3 linked regions of the Sus scrofa genome follow. The protein of the gene in region 1 purifies or fractionates together with the protein of each later gene. This does not show direct contact. Links are inferred from orthologs where the notes say so. Each region holds a gene or a part of one and is shown in the gene's direction. Other genes may lie near its edges.

Region 1 (5,450 bases):
GACCTGTTCATCGCCACCTACCAGGCCTTCCCGCCGATGCCCAACCCGCCCCGGCCCCCCACCCGGCTGCAGGACCGGCTGCTGAGGAAGCTGGGCCAGCACGCCCACCCCTTTTTTTTCACAGTGAGGATGCCCCCACACACACCCCCTGCAGAGCAAGGGCTCTGGGACTGTGTTTGGGGGGTGAGGCACCTGCTCCAGGCAGGTCTGGAAGAAACAGGGAGGAGAGACCCCAGATCCCCGTCCTTGAGGGTCGCCTTGCACACAGGAAGCTCTTGCCTCTCTGCCTTCTTCCCCCCTCCCCCCGGTGGAGGGGGCCCTTCCTGTGTCCTTTCTCATCCCCAGGGGTCCTTCTCCAGCCTCTTAAGTTGAGATTGGGAGGAAGATTTCGGGGGGCTTTCGGGAAGGACTGAAGCCTCTCCTTTCCTCCGCCACAGATACCCCAGAACCTGCCCTGCTCCGTCACCCTGCAGCCAGGCCCAGAGGACACAGGGAAGGTACGGGAGGAACAGGGTCCTAGGGGCACACTTGGGGGGGGATGGGCCCTGAGAAGTCCAGGTGGGGCTAAGGGTAGGAAAATGTCCCTGGGAGCAGTGGGCACGTGCAAGGAATGGTCACTGCGCATGTGGGACACTGCCTCCTGCTCATGACCTGCACACAGCGGCGTATGGGGGCTCGCCTCGCACAGCCAGGTCCGACCTCTGCCGGGTGCCGGGCCTCGCGGAGACAGAGGAGGAAGACCTGGGCCCTGCACGCCTCAGAGCATGATGGGGCAAGAGTGGCTGCCCAAGACGAAGGCAGCGGGAAGGAAGGGAGTGGTGGTGGCGGCAGGGGCTTGTGTAAGATGTGACCTTTTCTCCCCCTCTCAAGGCCTGCGGGGTGGACTTTGAGATTCGAGCCTTCTGTGCCAAATCGGTAGAAGAGAAAAGCCACAAAAGGTGAGGAAAGCACCCCCCCCCTTGGGTCTGACCATAACCTCCCAGCTCCCAGGCCTGGTTGGAGGTGAGAAGTGAGGGGTGAGAACTCGGCCACGGCCACGTCTGGAGTCTGTCTGACCCCTCCTCCCTGCCCCCAGGAACTCTGTGCGGCTGGTGATCCGAAAGGTGCAGTTTGCCCCCGAGAAACCCGGCCCCCAGCCTTCAGCTGAAACCACACGCCACTTCCTCATGTCTGACCGGTCCCTGCACCTCGAGGCGTCCCTGGACAAGGAGGTGGGGGGGGCGACAGGGTGCTGCAGTGCAGGCCAGACCCTGGGGAGGGGCGCTTCTAAAGGAGGCTGCCTTCCTTGCAGGGGTGGGCTTGGCTTTAGATGGAGGAGGCCCAGCACTGGGTGTGTGTTTGCGGGAGGTGGGGGCGCAGTAATAACAGGACCAGTGAAGAGACATCAATTAACTTTCCCCCCAAAAGCTGTACTACCATGGGGAGCCCCTCAATGTCAACGTCCACGTCACCAACAACTCCACCAAGACTGTCAAGAAGATCAAAGTCTCTGGTAGGAGGTGGGGGTTGGAAAATTGCCTGAAGGGAGGGAGTTTCAGCCACAGGACATACCCCAGGGCTGGAGACCCCGGGGGGCTCAAGGAATGCAGGCTGTCCCAGGATGGGGGGGTGGGGGGCACATGTCCTCAGGCAGGGATGCTAAAGGGCCAGGACCTGGGGTCCTTGCGGGGGGGGGGGGCGCGGGCTGGAGTTGGGTGGGCTGCTGTCTACACTCCATGCAGAGCTGCTTGGCCCCGCCCCACAGTGAGACAGTACGCGGACATCTGCCTCTTCAGCACGGCCCAGTACAAGTGCCCCGTGGCTCAGCTCGAACAAGAGTGAGTAGCAGAAGAGCCCTGGGTCCCCCTGGTCAGGGGGGAAGAGGGGCCCCGGAGTGTGAGGAAGGCGGGAGTCCTTCCCCGCTGTCTCCGCTTCCAAGCACATTCCCTCCCGTTGGGGGCTCTGAGCCGCTCATGTTCTGGAGCGGGTTGAGCCCGTGACCCAAGGCCAAAGGGAGAAGGGGCCGGTGATGGGGCAGAAGCCGCTTGGGGGTGGGAGCCACCCCCTCCGCCCGCCTGGCCCTTCCCAGAGTTTCCTTCTCGTGTCCCCCTGCCCCAGTGACCAGGTGTCGCCCAGTTCCACGTTCTGTAAGGTGTACACCATAACCCCCCTGCTCAGCAACAACCGAGAGAAGCGCGGTCTCGCCCTGGACGGGAAGCTCAAGCATGAGGACACCAACCTGGCGTCCAGCACCATGTGAGGGGACGAGGGGGTGGGGGTGGGGGGTCCTACAGCACAGGAGACACTCATTCCGTGCCAGCCGTGTGCCAGGCTCTGTCCCCGGGGCCACGGCCCCATCAGGGAGCAGAACAGACCCAAAAGATCTCTTACGTTCTCAGGGAGGAGGCCAGGCAAACCAGATAAATGGCAAAATATACAGCATGTTTAGTGCCAGCTGTTGAGAAAAAGGCAGGCAGAGAAGGGAGGTATCAAGGGGGGGGTGACTTTACAGAGGGTGGCCAGAAAAGGCAAAATCCAGAGGCGACTTGGAGTAAGGACACAAAGGCAGCAGGGCTGCAGAGGTGTCAGGCGAGAGGGCCCCTGTCTTTGGAGCAGGTACAGCTGCACAGAGTGGGGGCGGATTTCACCCCCGGGCCCTGCGCCCTGTGCCTGACCACACACGGCAGGCCAGCGTGGGAGCAGGAGGTGCGGTCAGAGGGCTGAGGGAAAGCAGGTCAGTGCAGGGCTGATGGGTCCCAAGGACGTGGGCTGTGACCGAGAGAGCGAGACGAAGATGGATGGGGTACGTTACACGGCAACAGCCCGTGCTGCTGGAGCCGGGGATTCCTGCTCAGAATCCCCGTGGAGGCCCCCAGGGTGGGCTAGGGTGCGAGGAGGCCGTGGGCTCTGGTCCAACTCCCCCCCCCGCCTCCCCCCCGCAGCGTGAAGGAGGGTGCCAACAAGGAGGTGCTGGGAATCCTCGTGTCCTACAGGGTCAAGGTGAAGCTGGTGGTGTCTCGAGGCGGGTGAGTGCTGCGGGTGGGAGCCTGGGGGTCGGGGGCTCTGCACGGGCCTCTCTTCATGCCGCCTCTCCCCCCCCTCAGAGATGTCTCCGTGGAGCTGCCTTTTGTTCTCATGCACCCCAAGCCCCAGGAGCACATCACCCTCCCCAGACCCCAGTCAGGTGAGCCTGCCACCCGCCCCAGCCCCCAGAGAGCGGGCCCGAAGCAGGGCCAGTGGAGACAAGGCGGGTCCTTTCAGCACCCACCCACCCCCCCTCCTTCCTTCTCCCCTCAGCTGCGCCAGAAACAGACGTCCCGGTGGACACCAACCTCATTGAATTTGATACCAAGTAAGACACGCCTCGGCCCCAGCTCTGACGCCCCTTGGTCGGAGATGCCTTACATTCACATCTACCCATTTTTTCCTCTTGTGGGGGGGGTGGTCGAAGCATCCAAGCGAGATGAGGCAGCCTTGCGAGCTGCCCATGGCCACCTCTTCCGGGTCCCTTCCTGCCAACACCTCCAGTCCCATTGCTGCTCTAACGCCTCTGTCTCTGGGGGGGTGGGGGTGGAGAAGAGGGTCAGGAGCCCTCGCCTCACCCCCTCCCTCCACACCAAGCTATGCCACGGACGACGACATCGTGTTCGAGGACTTTGCCCGGCTCCGGCTGAAGGGGATGAAGGACGAGGACGGCGAAGACCAGTTCTGCTAGGCGGCGGCGGCAGCGGGGGGCGGCTGGCAGAAGGGAGTGGATGGTGCTGGGAGAGGGAGGGGCAGGACCGAGACCCCGCTGGCACCGGGGGCTCCAGCCTCTCTTCCCCTGCCCTCCCCTCTCCCTGGGCGGCTGCCGCGACCAGCCCGCCTCCCCCTCCCCACCAGAGACGCACTGGACCCATCTCTTGGGGAACATGGGCATTAATCTTTCCACGACAGCTGGGCTTCCCCAACCCCGCAGCGGGTGGCACGCTGTGTTCATACCTAAGTTTTGTGGAGGGGCCACTGGAGAGGCGTGACAGCAGGGAAAGGGGGAGGACGAGCTCCCACATTCAACCTCACCCCGACACCCCTGCCTGTCACCACCTCTGCCTCCCATTCCTTCAGGATGAGACCCTCTGGGGGGCAAGGCCACTTTGTTTCTGAGGCTAAAGAAGAAAATAAACCTTTTAATAGGCACGCGCGTGTGTGTGTTTTCTACGGCACGTTTAAGGAGGACTTCGTGTGCTCGTCCACGACTGTCCATTGTGCCCCATCCCTTCTCTGTCCCCACATGTCACCAGGCCCCCAGGCTGTCAGTACACGTTTCCTGAATGGCTGAGCTGTACCTGAGTTCCACGGTAAACATGGAAACTTGATGTGGTCAGTCCAAACTCAAGGGCACAATGTGGTAAGCCACAAAGTAAACTCATTCATTCACAGAGGGAGTAATAGCTCACGTTCCTGCAGATGGGATGCTCTTGGGACTGGGCAGGGCAGGCCCTTCCCCGTCGCGGCTGACACACATGACTGCGTGGTGACTTGTGACCGAGTGTTTGTTTCCACTGCTCCTTCTGGTCGATCAAGCGGTCCATTCCTGGGGCTTGGTGGAACCGCAGCTGCGGGCCTCAGCGGCAGAAGCCACCTGGCAGACACCTCCCAGGAGCCTGGTCCTTAGACTGCACACAGAAGCCAAAGCTCTGGGCAGCCGAAGGCAGTGGTGCTGCTGTGGACAAGTCCAAGACACTACGTCCTACGCTGCTCCTCTAGTTCATCAGGGACTCCCAGAGGCTTGGCTGAAGCCCCAGACTGGGCTGGCAGGAGTCGAGCGCTACTCCGCTGGCACGCGCACCCCCACCACCGGCTCCACTCCTGCAGGGCACCCTCTCCCCTTTTCCTCCTAAGGCTCATTCATTCCCTCCATGAACAATCCTGATTTAAATCCCTATCATGTGCCAGGCGTAGTATAGGGATGGCAGTGACCAAAGCAAACATGAAGTCATAACACTATCGCTCCAAAACAGAAGGCCAGGAGCTAGGGGATTCTGACCCAGGCTGGAGGTGGTGACCGTCGGGCAGATGAGGAGTCCCGGCACCCCGGCAAGAGGAATAGCACGCGGGAAGGCAGCAAAGAACGGAGCACGTTTCAGACACCGAAAGAGGCCAGAGTGACTGGGACGCAGACAGCCGGAGGCAAAGCAGTTCCTGGTGAGGCATCTGGGGCAGCTCCTACAGGCCTTCTGTCTCTGTTACAGCCCATGACATCTAATTAAGTCACGATTTACCCACAGGCTTTAAATGCTGTCAAAATGTCAACGACCTCGCTCACCTCTCCACCCAGCAGCCTCCCCTGCAGGCCTTGGTCTTCACCATGTGGCGGGACCATCCTTGACCTCTGAGCTCCTGGCGCAGGGATCTCAAACTCTTCCAAGTGAATCAGAATCCTCTGGGGCACATGATAAAGACGCAAGGTCCCAGGTTTCCACCTTCCCCGA
Region 2 (5,906 bases), on another chromosome or scaffold:
TCCTCTGTCAGTGTGGAGTGAGACTACTTCAGAGATGCTGCTCGACTTCAAAATAAAGCAGAGAAGATAGGCATTTGTGGCTTTGACTCTGCAGTACCAGAAAGTTTTTAGAGAGAACTAATACAATCCTATCAGACTCTGAGGACAGTTTTTTGTTTTTGTTTTTGTTTTTTTTGCTATTTCTTTGGGCCGCTCCCGCAGCATATGGAGGTTCCCAGGCTAGGGGTCGAATTGGAGCTGTAGCCGCCGGCCTACGCCAGAGCCACAGCAACACATGATCTGAGCCACGTCTGCAACCTACACCACAGCTCACGGTAACGCCGGATCGTTAACCCACTGAGCAAGGGCAGGGACCGAACCCGCAACCTCATGGTTCCTAGTCGGATTCGTTAACCACTGCGCCACGACGGGAACTCCTCTGATGGCAGTTTGAATTCAAATTTTGTGTTTTTCCAGAATGTTTTCATAATATGCCTTAAATTTTTTTTTTTTTTTTTTTTTTTTTTTGTCTTTTTAGGACCGCAACCTGCAGCATATGGAGGTTCCCAGGATAGGGGTCCAATGGGAGCTATAGCTGCCGGCCTACACCGCAGCCACAGCAACTCGGGATCTGAGCTGCATCTGCGACCCACACCACAGCTCACGGCAACACAGGATCCTTAACCCACTGGGCAAGGCCAGGGATCAAACCTGCAAACTCGTGGTTCCTAGTCGGACTCGTTAACCACTGAGCCACAATGGGAATTCCAATAATTGTCTTAATTCTTTAAAAACAAAACAAAGAAGCAAAACCCAGGTCAACAGGTAGAAACACTATCACCTTATTTAACTTACTCTGTTCCGGCCTCCTGACAAGCATCTTAGAGCTAGTTTCCTCAAGGGTCAACAAAATGACATTGCAGTTCAGAAATGCTTTAAAAACTTTTCTCTCCAAAAGCTAATCTGCATGTCACCATTCTCCAGAGTGCACTGAAAATCCCCTACAGGGGAAAGCTGATAACATTGTGCGCATAAAACCTCTGCTGGCTGGCAGGGCTTAGGACTGCTGGCTGAAGCCAGGAGTTTCGGGGGTGGACTGCAGAGAAAGGATTGCCAGGATTGACTTCAGCCACCTCCTAAGGAGGAAATGTGTTTGGTTTTAACTCCATGTTTCATGGTGGCTACATAGTTAATTCTGATTAAAAGCAAGCCTGGATTTTCAGAGATAAATGGATATAGACAGCCTCTTTTTATACCTTCTGAGGGGGGGTTGGGAAGAGTGTAACCACTGGGTTGTCTTTCATACTTTCCCTCCTAAGCAGGCAGTAGCTTCCTCTCGGGGGCCACATGGATGGTGCGATCCTTCTGGGCAACTCTTGAACACACAGATATGTGCTATAATATACAAAAATGTATGCGAAAGAAGATTCTAGACTGATTAATATAGTCCATATTGGACACTCATTAGATGTGTAAATTGGTTGTATCTCCTGAGTTACAGACATCTTTCTTTTAAGACATCATTTAAAGGTACATACCTGGGACTTGGGGTTGTCGGAATATGGTTGTCAATCCCCTGCTTCTCTTACATCCACCTCAGGCTCAAGGTTAATATCTGAAAGCGTAACAGCAAACACAGATGCCATTCCAGGTTCCCAGTCCTTCTGCATTTCTGAGCCAGGACCAGCACTTTCCTACCAGCGGAGCCTGGTGGGAGTTCCCCTCTCAGGCAAGGACGAAAGCACAGAGCATTGGAAGAATGGGATTAGGATTAACATTTCTTATGGCGCTATAGACCAGGTTGATCTCATGTTAGTTCTCAGCCTACCCATCAGAGTTGTAGGATGGGTCCACTGTTTTGTTTTGTCTTTCGTTCCTCCCTCCTTCCTTTCCCTCTTTCTTTGTCCTTCTTTCCTGCACAGAATTATTCATTTATGTTCTTAAAACAAATTGCGTCTGACCAGAAGCATAGGCTGGAGAGGAAATCTTACCAGGCTTAATCATTATGAAGCCCCCCCACCCAGCCCATCACCCCAGTGGTGGGAGGTCCCTGGGTTCACAGAGCCCTGCCCCTCTGAGATGGTCACACTAACTGCCTTCCCCCACAACCTGGTGCTGGAGATCAGTTGCTTTCATATCTCATTCCACCCCCAGTGTCTCTGGCAAAGCCAGGGAAACTGTCTAGACCAGAGCAATGCTACCAGGGGAAATATAATGCCAGTCCCATAAGAAACCGCAATTGTTTCTAGTAGCCACATACAAAGTATGAAAAAGAAATGGGTGAAATAAATGTTGAGAACATTTTATTTAACTCAGTATATCCAAAGTACTATCAGTTTTAATATACAGCCGGTATAAAAATTACTGGAGTATTTATATTATTTTTGATACTAAGTCTTTGAAATCCAGCATCAAGTTTTATACTTAGAGCAACATCTCAAATTGGATGACCTCCTGGCTCTTCTGTGCTGTTGGTATCTTTGAATTACCTAGGAATCCTTGAAGACTTGAAATTCTAGTATTTAACTGAACAGTAGCCATGCAGAAACCAAGCCCATGGGAGACTCCAGAACAGACTGTGTCGCCATATCCTGACCTTCTTCCCTATGGGCTGTAGGAAGGGGCCTCTTGCTCCATGGCCGGGAGTTTCCCCAGAGCACCCCCAGCTCAGCTCTGGCCTCTCTCCCCAGTGTACGTGCCCGACGAGTGGGAGGTCGCCCGGGAGAAGATCACCATGAGCCGGGAGCTGGGACAGGGCTCCTTCGGGATGGTTTATGAAGGCGTCGCCAAGGGTGTGGTCAAAGATGAGCCTGAGACCAGGGTGGCCATTAAGACAGTGAATGAGGCCGCCAGCATGCGTGAGAGGATTGAGTTTCTCAACGAGGCCTCCGTGATGAAGGAGTTCAACTGTCACCACGTGGTGAGGGAAGGGCCCCAAGGGTTGGGGCCACCCTTATGGGTTTGCGACTCATCCTGTCTCTGTAGGATCCCTCTCACTGCTCAAGAAGGTTGGGGGGGATGTGCAGGTCCAGGGAGTCTGGTGCCACATCATCCAGGGTTGCTCAGGGTGGTCCTGGTGGGGTTGGGGGGCTGCGGGGGCTCACCCCCTGTCTCCTTCTCTTTCCCCCTCACAGGTGCGGCTGCTGGGTGTGGTGTCCCAGGGCCAGCCAACGCTGGTCATCATGGAACTGATGACCCGGGGGGACCTCAAAAGTTATCTCCGGTCTCTGAGACCAGAAATGGAGGTCAGTTTCAATGTTCACCGAAACGCCATGCTATCTGTTCCCTTTCCTCTAGAACCTTCCCCCAGGAGGTACTGTGTCTTTAAATCCATGCACTTTTCTTGCCATGTGCTTGGTCCTGGGTCCTTTAGAAGAGCGTGTTCCTTGACTAGAGAGAGACCTGTTTCACGCGCCTGTTCACACATGGCTTCCTTCATCCGCAGCAGATGATCTGCGTGGTGCTGAGGGTGGTCACGAGGCCAAGTGTGGACTGAGGCCCTGGGCAGAGTGGTCTATGACATGCCCACCCTCCGCTCTGCCCAGCGTGGGTCCCCAACTCCCCTGACTCTTAGTGCCTTTGCCCAGCTCACTGTGTTATACATAAGATAGCAGGAAGGAGAAAGCGTCATCATATGGGTTACTGGAGATGTGGCAGATACATTCAGGGCACCTCTGAAAAGTCTGAAACACTCAATTCCTTCATCCCCAGTCTTAGGTGCAGAATAAAAAATGTGCAACATGCTGGCTGTCTGCATGGAGTGGCTGCTTCAGGCCTCTGGGCCTCCGTTTCCTTATGTGCAAAATAAGAGGGTTAAACAAGATGACTACCAAAGTCCTTTTCAGACCAGAAATTCACTTTTAGATTTGTCACATTTAAAGTTGTTCTTTTTGGGAATTCCCACTTTGGCTCAGCAGTAACGAACCCGACTAGTATCCATGAGGATGTGGGTTCAATCCCTGGCCTCACTCAGTGAGTTAAGGATACGGCATTGCTGTGAGCTGTGGTGTAGGCCAGCAGCTACAGCTCCTGTTCGACCCCTAGCCTGGGAACTTCCATATGCCACGGGTGCAGCCCTAAAAAGAAAAAAAATCACCACAGATAGTCCTCGTAGCCTCTTCAGAAGTCAAATATATGGTCAAATATAGGGTTACACTGCTTCTCGAAGCCAGCTCTCTGCAGAAGCTAGTTCCTGACTGGGCAAAGCCACCATCCTCTGTGCATGGACCCTGGCCAGACACAGGCATGGCCCCAGGTCTTCATCCAGGCAGTGAACCAGCCTTGATTCCTGTGGGAAAGCGCCCAAGAGGAGCTTAGGCGTGCTCTCCCTGTGGCCCAGGGTTTGAGCTGGGAAGGGGACACGTGGGACCTGTCAGAGTAGGATGGCTTTGCCCCACTGTAAGAGCTCTCTGCAATCAGGGGAACCAGCTCAAGTTGGTTGCACTTATACAAGCACGTGGTGGTCAGCATTGAAACTGGGGTGCTGGTTGGTTTCTGCATTTTCAATTTTTTCGGTGGAGAGACTTAGGCACACCTTTTATATGAAACTCTTTTCTAAATGGATTTATTATTTGGGGATATTTCTCTTCAGTTCCAAAGCCAGTATGTTGCCCTCCTCTGCAAAGAGGAACCGTTTATTCCTGTTACTTGTCACTGTTGGATGTGGGGCTCTCCAGAATAAGCTTCTGCTGGACTTAAGTGAACTGTCAAGGGCTTGCTTTCCTCAGCACCCACGGAAAATAATAAGCCAAGGAATACCCCTCTGTAAAGTGAAAAAAAATAATCTCGATGTTTTTGTACTTCAGAAGAAAGTCGAGAAAGAAAAGGATTAAATAGTTTATAACAAAGCTTACGTGGGAAATAACTCGCCCAGGGTCCATTTGGCAAAGTCGTTTGCTTATTTCCACACGGTCTCTGTAATGTCCTTTCCCTCCTTTTCCCTGTAAAGACTTTGTAGAAATAAAAGGAACATACAGACTAATTGGAATTTGAGTATCTAGAATTCTTAACATCCAGAATTGCTTGTTTCACTTTGAATGATGTTTGCCACACCCAAAATAGAAAATGCTGGTCCCAAGTTGTGCTCATGGGTGCTTCTCTCTGCAGCTCTGTGTGACATGGTCAGAGGGCAAGTGCCGTGGCCTCCATGGCAGTACAGTCCTTCTGAGCCAGTCCAGGTTTCTTAGCAGTTGACCTGTGGTCTCAGATTGGACAAAGATGCAAACCCGGAAAGAATGCAGGGTGAGAAAAATTCCTAAAGTCTTATTGAATTTTTTTTTTCTTCATCTCCAACAGAATAATCCAGTCCTAGCACCTCCAAGCCTAAGCAAAATGATCCAGATGGCTGGAGAGATTGCAGATGGCATGGCATACCTCAACGCCAATAAGTTTGTCCACAGAGACCTCGCTGCCCGGAACTGTATGGTGGCCGAAGACTTCACAGTCAAAATCGGAGGTGAGCCCTTAACTTGCCAGGTCTGAGCCAGAACTAAACTCAGCATGTTTTTTAGGGACCAAGCAGGCATCGGCCTGCCTGTGGAGAGGTTTTCCAGAGCATCCTATGGATGCAGAGTCTTGTGCTTGGGAATCATGTGATTGTCTCCATTTGACAGTCAACTGCACACCTGGCCAGGCCAGGCCAGCTCTAATCCTGAGCAGGTGGGCACGGCAGTCCAGGTAGTGGGCAAGAGGGGCTGAGGCAGTGGTCCCTGAGGTCTCCTCAACTGACATTTGAGGCTTTTTTTTCCTCATTTTTAAAGTTTTATTGAAGTATAGTCGATTTACAATGTTGTGATAATTTCTGATGTATAAAAAAGTGATTCAGTGATACACGTACACACCTCCATTCTCCTTCAGATTCTTTTCCCACATAGATGATCACAGAATATTGGGTAGAGTTCCCTGTGCTATACAGCAGGTCCCTATTG
Region 3 (5,906 bases), on another chromosome or scaffold:
TATAGGAGTTTCCGTTGTGGCTCAGCAGGTTAAGAATCTGACATAGTGCTCATGAGAATGCAAGTTTGATCCCTGGCCTCTGCTCAGTGGGTTAAGAATCCAGCATTGCCACAGGCTGTGGTGTATGTGGCTCAGATCCAGTGTTGCTATGGCATAGGCTGGCATTTGCAGCTCCAATTTGACCCCTGTCCTGGGAACTTCCATATGCTGTGGATGCAGCCCTGAAAAGAAAAAAAAAAATTTTTTTTAATATATAGGAGTTCCCTTCGTGGTGCAGCAGAAAGGAATCCGACTAGGAACCATGAGGTTGCAGGTTCGATCCCTGGCCTCGCTCAGTGGGTTAAGGATCCAGCGTTGCTGTGAGCTGTGGTATAGGTCGCAGATGTGGCTTGGCTCTGGTGTTGCTGTGGCTCTGGCATAGGCTTGTAGCCTGGGAACCTCCATATGCCGCAGGGTACAGCCCTAAAAGGACAAAAAAGACAATAAAGAAAAAAAAATAAAAAATACATAAATACTTAGAAATAAATATTCCCTATATTGAATAAGCTTGCTTGAACAACATATACCTTTGCCTGTCTACCTAAAAATCAGTGATTTAGGCTTTCGTGTAGCAAACCAAAGCAAAATAAGATTTGAGTAGTGATTCTTTTATTTAAGGAAATAGACTTCATTTCAGAGTATTGAGTGCAGATTATTAATGGTGTTGTGGGAAAATTAAAGCTGAGTTAGGCAAGGTCTCTGATATGGCATGGTTTTATGATAGACAGATACATTAGTAATTATCAGAATAAGTAGATTGATAAGTATTCTAAAAGCACAAACTTGAGAATAAACTTATTTATTTCCATTTTTAGCACCCTGAGGAAGCCAGAAGTAGTATGTTACTGCCTGTTTGTGTTGCATTGCTTTGATTGATGAACCAGATGTTGGTATTTGTTAATATTAAAAGCTCTTACAGAAAAGATTTGTAGAATATTGATCGTAAAGATAGTAGTACTGTTCATGATACAAATTCATTATAAAATTGAAGATATTATTGCTTCTGCTTGAAATTCTGTTAAGTCAGAACTTCAGGACAACTTGGGAGAGAACTGAGCCCTATGTTATAGTTATGAAGGTGTTTTTGTTTTTGTTTTTTTAGTCTTTTTAGGGCCACGCTCATGTCGTATGGAGGTTCCCAGGCTAGGGGTCGAACCAGTGTACACCACAGCCACAGCAATGAGGGATCCGAGCTGTGTCTGCAACCTACATTACAACTCACGGCAGTGCCAAATCCTTAACCCGCTGAATGAGGCCAGGGATCAAACCTGTGTCCTTATGGATACTAGTTGGGTTTGTTACTGCTGAGCCACGATGGGAACTCCCCAATATGAAGGTATTTTTTGAACAATACTTTCTAGGTTTTGTTAAAGACCACATAGACATCTTGATAAAATTTCTGGGGGTGGGGGTTGGTAAGACAACATCATTTTGCAGGTAAGACAAAATTGCTGTAAGCAATCAATATGTCCTCTTGGGTCCCCTTTCTTTTTGGAGAGGGTGGCCTCGCTCACGGCATGTGGAAGTTCTGGGGCCAGGGATCAAACCTGCGCACAGGGAGTTCCCGTCGTGGAGCAGTGATTAACGAGTCCGACTAGGAACCATAAGGTTTCGGGTTCGATCCCTGGCCTTGCTCAGTGGGTTAAGGATCTGGCATTGCCGTGAGCTGTGGTATAGGTTGCAGACGCGGCTCGGATCCTGTGTTGCTGTGGCTCTGGTGTAGGCTGGTAGCTACGGCTCCGATTCGACCCCTAGCCTGGGAACCTCCATATGCCATGGGAGCAGCCCTAGAAAAGGCAAAAAGACAAAAAAAAACGAAAAACAAAAACAAAACCTGAGCCACAGTAGTGACCATGCCAGATCCTTAACCCCACTGTACCACCAGGGAACAATCCCCCTTTTCATTAAAATATAGTTGACTAAATAGTACTTAGTTTTTGGTGTACAGAATAATGATGGGGCGGGGGGTGTTTGTCTTCGTCTTTTTAGGGTTGAACCCATGGCATATGGAGGTTTCCGGGCAAGGGGTCGCTGGCCTGTGCAACAGCCATAGCAATGCCAGATCCAGGCTGTGTCTATGACCTACACCTACACCATACTCACATCAATGCTGGATCCTTAATCCACTGAGAGAGGCCAGGATCGAACCTGGGTCCTCATGGATACTAGTCACATTCATTTCCACTGAGCCATGATGGGAACTCCTGATTTAGTATTTTTATAGGTTATATATTCTGTTAAAAGTTTTCCAAGATAATGGCTATAATTCCCTGTGCTATGCAGTAGATCCCTGTTGCCCTCTTGGGTCCATTTTTGTTAGGGGTGAAGATGTAGTTGATGGTCATTGGAATATTTCTGCTGAGTCAGTGGAATCTGATACAGTAGTAGGAAGCTGTTATGGAGGCAGAAACGATTCCTCTCACCGGAATGCAGCTGCTGTTAAAAACAGTGGGAAAAATGGGGGGGGGGAATCCACCCATATTCCTGGGGTTTTGAAAATGGGCAACCAGGAGTTACCTGGTGGCTCAGTGGGTTAAGGATCTGTTGTCACTGCAGTGGCTCTGGTCACAGCTGTGGCAGGTTCAGTCCCTGGCCCAGCAACTTGCGCATGCTGCAGGTATGGCCAAAGAAAGAAAGAAATTTGGTGTCCATACAGTTTCCAGGGCCAGGCCCTCTGGTGGTTCTGAGATACATAGTGTGTACTGTGGCATCCTGCTATGTCCTCCCTCACTTAGGGCCTCTTTGTGGGTGATATGCATTCTGCCTTCATGCATGTGAAACAAGTATTTGCCCAGAGTTCTAAGCAGAATACTTCACTTTGTGTTCTTTCTGCCAGGGTGTTCTGAGAACTGTTTTTAATGCCATCTCCCCTCTTTTTCAGCTCTGCTTATGATAATGTCAACAAAGTTCGAGTAGCTATCAAGAAAATCAGTCCATTTGAGCATCAGACCTACTGCCAGAGAACCCTGAGGGAGATAAAAATCTTACTGCGCTTTAGACACGAGAACATCATTGGAATCAATGATATCATTCGAGCACCAACCATCGAGCAGATGAAAGATGTGTATCCTTTTCAGGCTGTGGACTCCACTGCTCCATCACCTGGTTGAGTACACATCAAGTCTTCCACTTATCGTGGTGGAAGAAAAGTAGTCAAACATGTTTAAGGGGAAACTCTGCTCTGCTTGCCACTTACTATAACACTTGCATCATTTACTTTTTTTTTTTTCCTTGCTTCTTCCACAGCATGTGGAAGTTCCTGGGTCAGGGATCAAACCCATGCCAAGCAGCAATCCAAGTTGCAGCAGTGACAAAGCTGGGTCCTTAGCCCTCTGAACCACAAGAGAACTCCCACATCATTTACTTTTTTTCTCTGATTCATTTTATTAGTAGCTTTAGCATATTTTTTGCTGTTTATTCTATATTTTCTCAGTTTCAGTAAAGATTTCTCTAAGTGTAGTTATGGAAAATGTTGGTTAACACCTTTTCCAGTCATGATACTTCTTTTCAAGGTATGGTTTGTTGTGGTGAAAGAGCAGTAGACTAAAAGAAGGGGCCCTGTATAGCACCTGGTCAGGTCGAGATTGTCCTGATCTCAGTGTCATTTTACTTCTGGGTCCAGTTTTCTCATGTTAAAACTGAGGTACAGCCTTCATGATCTTCAAGGCTATCTCAGGTCTGAAGTTGTCATTAATTGTGACAAACGTTTAGAAATCTGGACTCAGGAGGTCCAGAGGATACTTTCTGAGTAAGGACTGCATGTGAAAGATAGAAGTGTTAAGTGTGCTCGGAGTTCCCATCGTGGCACAGTGGTTAATGAATCCAACTAGGAACCATGAGGTTCAGTGGGTTAAGGATCTGGTGTTGCCATGAGCTGTGGTGTGGGTCGCAGATGTGGCTCGAATCCCGCATTGCTGTGGCTCTGGCGTAGGCTAGCAGCACCAGCTCTGATTAGACCCCAGCATGGGAACCTCCATATGCCACGGGAGCGGCTCAAGAAAAGGCAAAAAGACAAAAAAAAAAAAAAAAAAAGAAGAAGTGTTAAGTGTGCTGGAGGAGGATCTGCCAGGAGAAAGGGTTCTGGCCAGTGCAGCATTCCTGCCAGCTTGCCCACTGTGCAGTCCGCCCCTCCAGGGAGAGGCAGTGCGCTGTCTCTAGGCAGTCTTTCCATTTTTAAACAGTTCTGTTACTAAGTTGTGATATTTTAAGTGAAATGCCTCCTTCTGCCGCCTGTTGTCCTGCTTTACCTTTTGCCTTGAAAATCAGGTCTTTTTTAGATGACTAGTTTTTAAGTCATGTTTCTTCAAATCCCATACTGTGTCTCATCTAGCATGAATCTCTAGGAGACGTATAGTATTTACAGAGAAATGAATAAAAGAAATGCAGGAAGACTTCACAGAACCTCAGGAGGAAGCAGCTACTCAGGACTCCTTCCATTAAGCTCTACTCAGTTTCCATCAGTTTCTCATTTCCCTTCTGGGCCTCATGATGTAATAATGGACCATTTGGATTCTTTCTGTTTTCAGTGCTTTGCTAGTGTAACTAGCTCTTTTGGTTGTGTTACCTTAATCTTTCCAAACAGATACATAGTACAGGACCTCATGGAAACAGATCTCTACAAGCTCTTGAAGACGCAGCACCTCAGCAACGACCATATCTGCTATTTTCTTTACCAGATCCTCAGAGGGTTAAAATATATCCATTCAGCTAACGTACTGCACCGTGACCTCAAACCTTCCAACCTGCTGCTCAACACCACCTGCGATCTCAAGGTCAGCCAGCTTATTTACTCTTAGGGTGATATTTATTGGACAAAACTCGTTTTGCTGGAGAATGTTTATTTATATATAATTTTTTATTTTATTTTTCTTTTCAGGGCCACAGATATCATGAAAGAATGTAGATTCATTCTAATAAAAATGCACTTGAATTTAAGAGGACCTAGATAAATGAAATGACATTCCATGTTCATGGATTGGAAGACTTAATATTGTTAAGATGGCAGTGTTTTCAAATTTGATCTACTGATGTAGTGGAATCCCTATCAAAGCCCCAGGTGGCTTCTTTTGCAAAAATGGACAGGCTGATCCTGAAGTGCAATAGAAATTCAAGAGACCCAGAGTAGCTAAGACAATTTTATGAAAGGGCAGAGTTATAGGACTCACACTTTCTGATTTCAGAACTTACTACCAAGCTGCGGCAATCAAGAGTAGGCATATAGATCACTGGAATAGAACTCCGAGTCAGTAAATAAACCCATATGTTTATGAGTAACTGACTTTTTTTTTTTTGGGCCACTCTGTGACATATGGAGCTTCCCGGCCAGGGATCAGATCCAAGCCTTAGTTATGACGTAAGCCAAAGCTGCAGCAGCAACAGATCCTTAACCCACTGTGCTGGGCCAGGGATTGAACTTGTGTCCCAGCTCTCCCAACATGCTACTGATCCTGTTGCACCACAGTGGGAACTTCTTGATTAACTGACTTTTTTTTTTTTTTTAAGGGCCAAACCCATGACATGTGGAAGTGCCCAGGCTAAAGGGTCAGATTGGAGCTACAGCTGCTGGCCTACTCCGCAGCCACAGCAATGCGTGATCCAAGCTGTGTCTGTGACCTACACTACAATTCACAGCAACACCAGATCCCCAACCCACTGATCGAAGCCAGGGTTTGAACCCTACACCCTCACCGATACTGTCAGATTCATTTCTGCTGCACCACAACAGAGGCTCCTTTTTTTTTTTTTTTTTTTTTTTTTTCCCCAATTAACAAATTTTTGAGAAGAGCACCAAGAACATTACTAAGGAAAGAATAGTCTTTTCACCAAATGGTGCTGGGGGACCACATGCAAAAAAATGGGGCTGGGCA

What was found.
Region 2: the proteins of ARRB2 (region 1) and IGF1R purify together in Homo sapiens (affinity purification with western blotting; 4 studies listed by BioGRID). This does not show direct contact. The link is inferred for Sus scrofa from reciprocal best matches to the Homo sapiens genes ARRB2 and IGF1R.
Region 3: the proteins of ARRB2 (region 1) and MAPK1 purify together in Homo sapiens (affinity purification with western blotting; 3 studies listed by BioGRID and IntAct, with this or other methods). This does not show direct contact. The link is inferred for Sus scrofa from reciprocal best matches to the Homo sapiens genes ARRB2 and MAPK1.

What each region holds. Positions count from the first base shown.
Region 1 is NC_010454.4:52,160,481-52,165,930, reverse strand, and holds the end of ARRB2 (beta-arrestin-2), read left to right. Parts: coding exon 1-123; intron 124-437; coding exon 438-497; intron 498-870; coding exon 871-938; intron 939-1,075; coding exon 1,076-1,211; intron 1,212-1,407; coding exon 1,408-1,817; intron 1,818-2,097; coding exon 2,098-2,235; intron 2,236-2,921; coding exon 2,922-3,005; intron 3,006-3,083; coding exon 3,084-3,163; intron 3,164-3,240; coding exon of another isoform or gene 3,241-3,276; coding exon 3,277-3,331; intron 3,332-3,600; coding exon 3,601-3,694; 3' UTR 3,695-4,155; downstream 4,156-5,450. UniProt on the Homo sapiens protein: Functions in regulating agonist-mediated G-protein coupled receptor (GPCR) signaling by mediating both receptor desensitization and resensitization processes.
Region 2 is NC_010443.5:137,406,594-137,412,499, reverse strand, and holds part of IGF1R (insulin-like growth factor 1 receptor precursor), read left to right. Parts: intron 1-2,669; coding exon 2,670-2,899; intron 2,900-3,113; coding exon 3,114-3,224; intron 3,225-5,274; coding exon 5,275-5,434; intron 5,435-5,906. UniProt on the Homo sapiens protein: Receptor tyrosine kinase which mediates actions of insulin-like growth factor 1 (IGF1). Binds IGF1 with high affinity and IGF2 and insulin (INS) with a lower affinity. The activated IGF1R is involved in cell growth and survival control.
Region 3 is NC_010456.5:50,137,013-50,142,918, forward strand, and holds part of MAPK1 (mitogen-activated protein kinase 1), read left to right. Parts: intron 1-2,920; coding exon 2,921-3,103; intron 3,104-4,621; coding exon 4,622-4,811; intron 4,812-5,906. UniProt on the Homo sapiens protein: Serine/threonine kinase which acts as an essential component of the MAP kinase signal transduction pathway. MAPK1/ERK2 and MAPK3/ERK1 are the 2 MAPKs which play an important role in the MAPK/ERK cascade.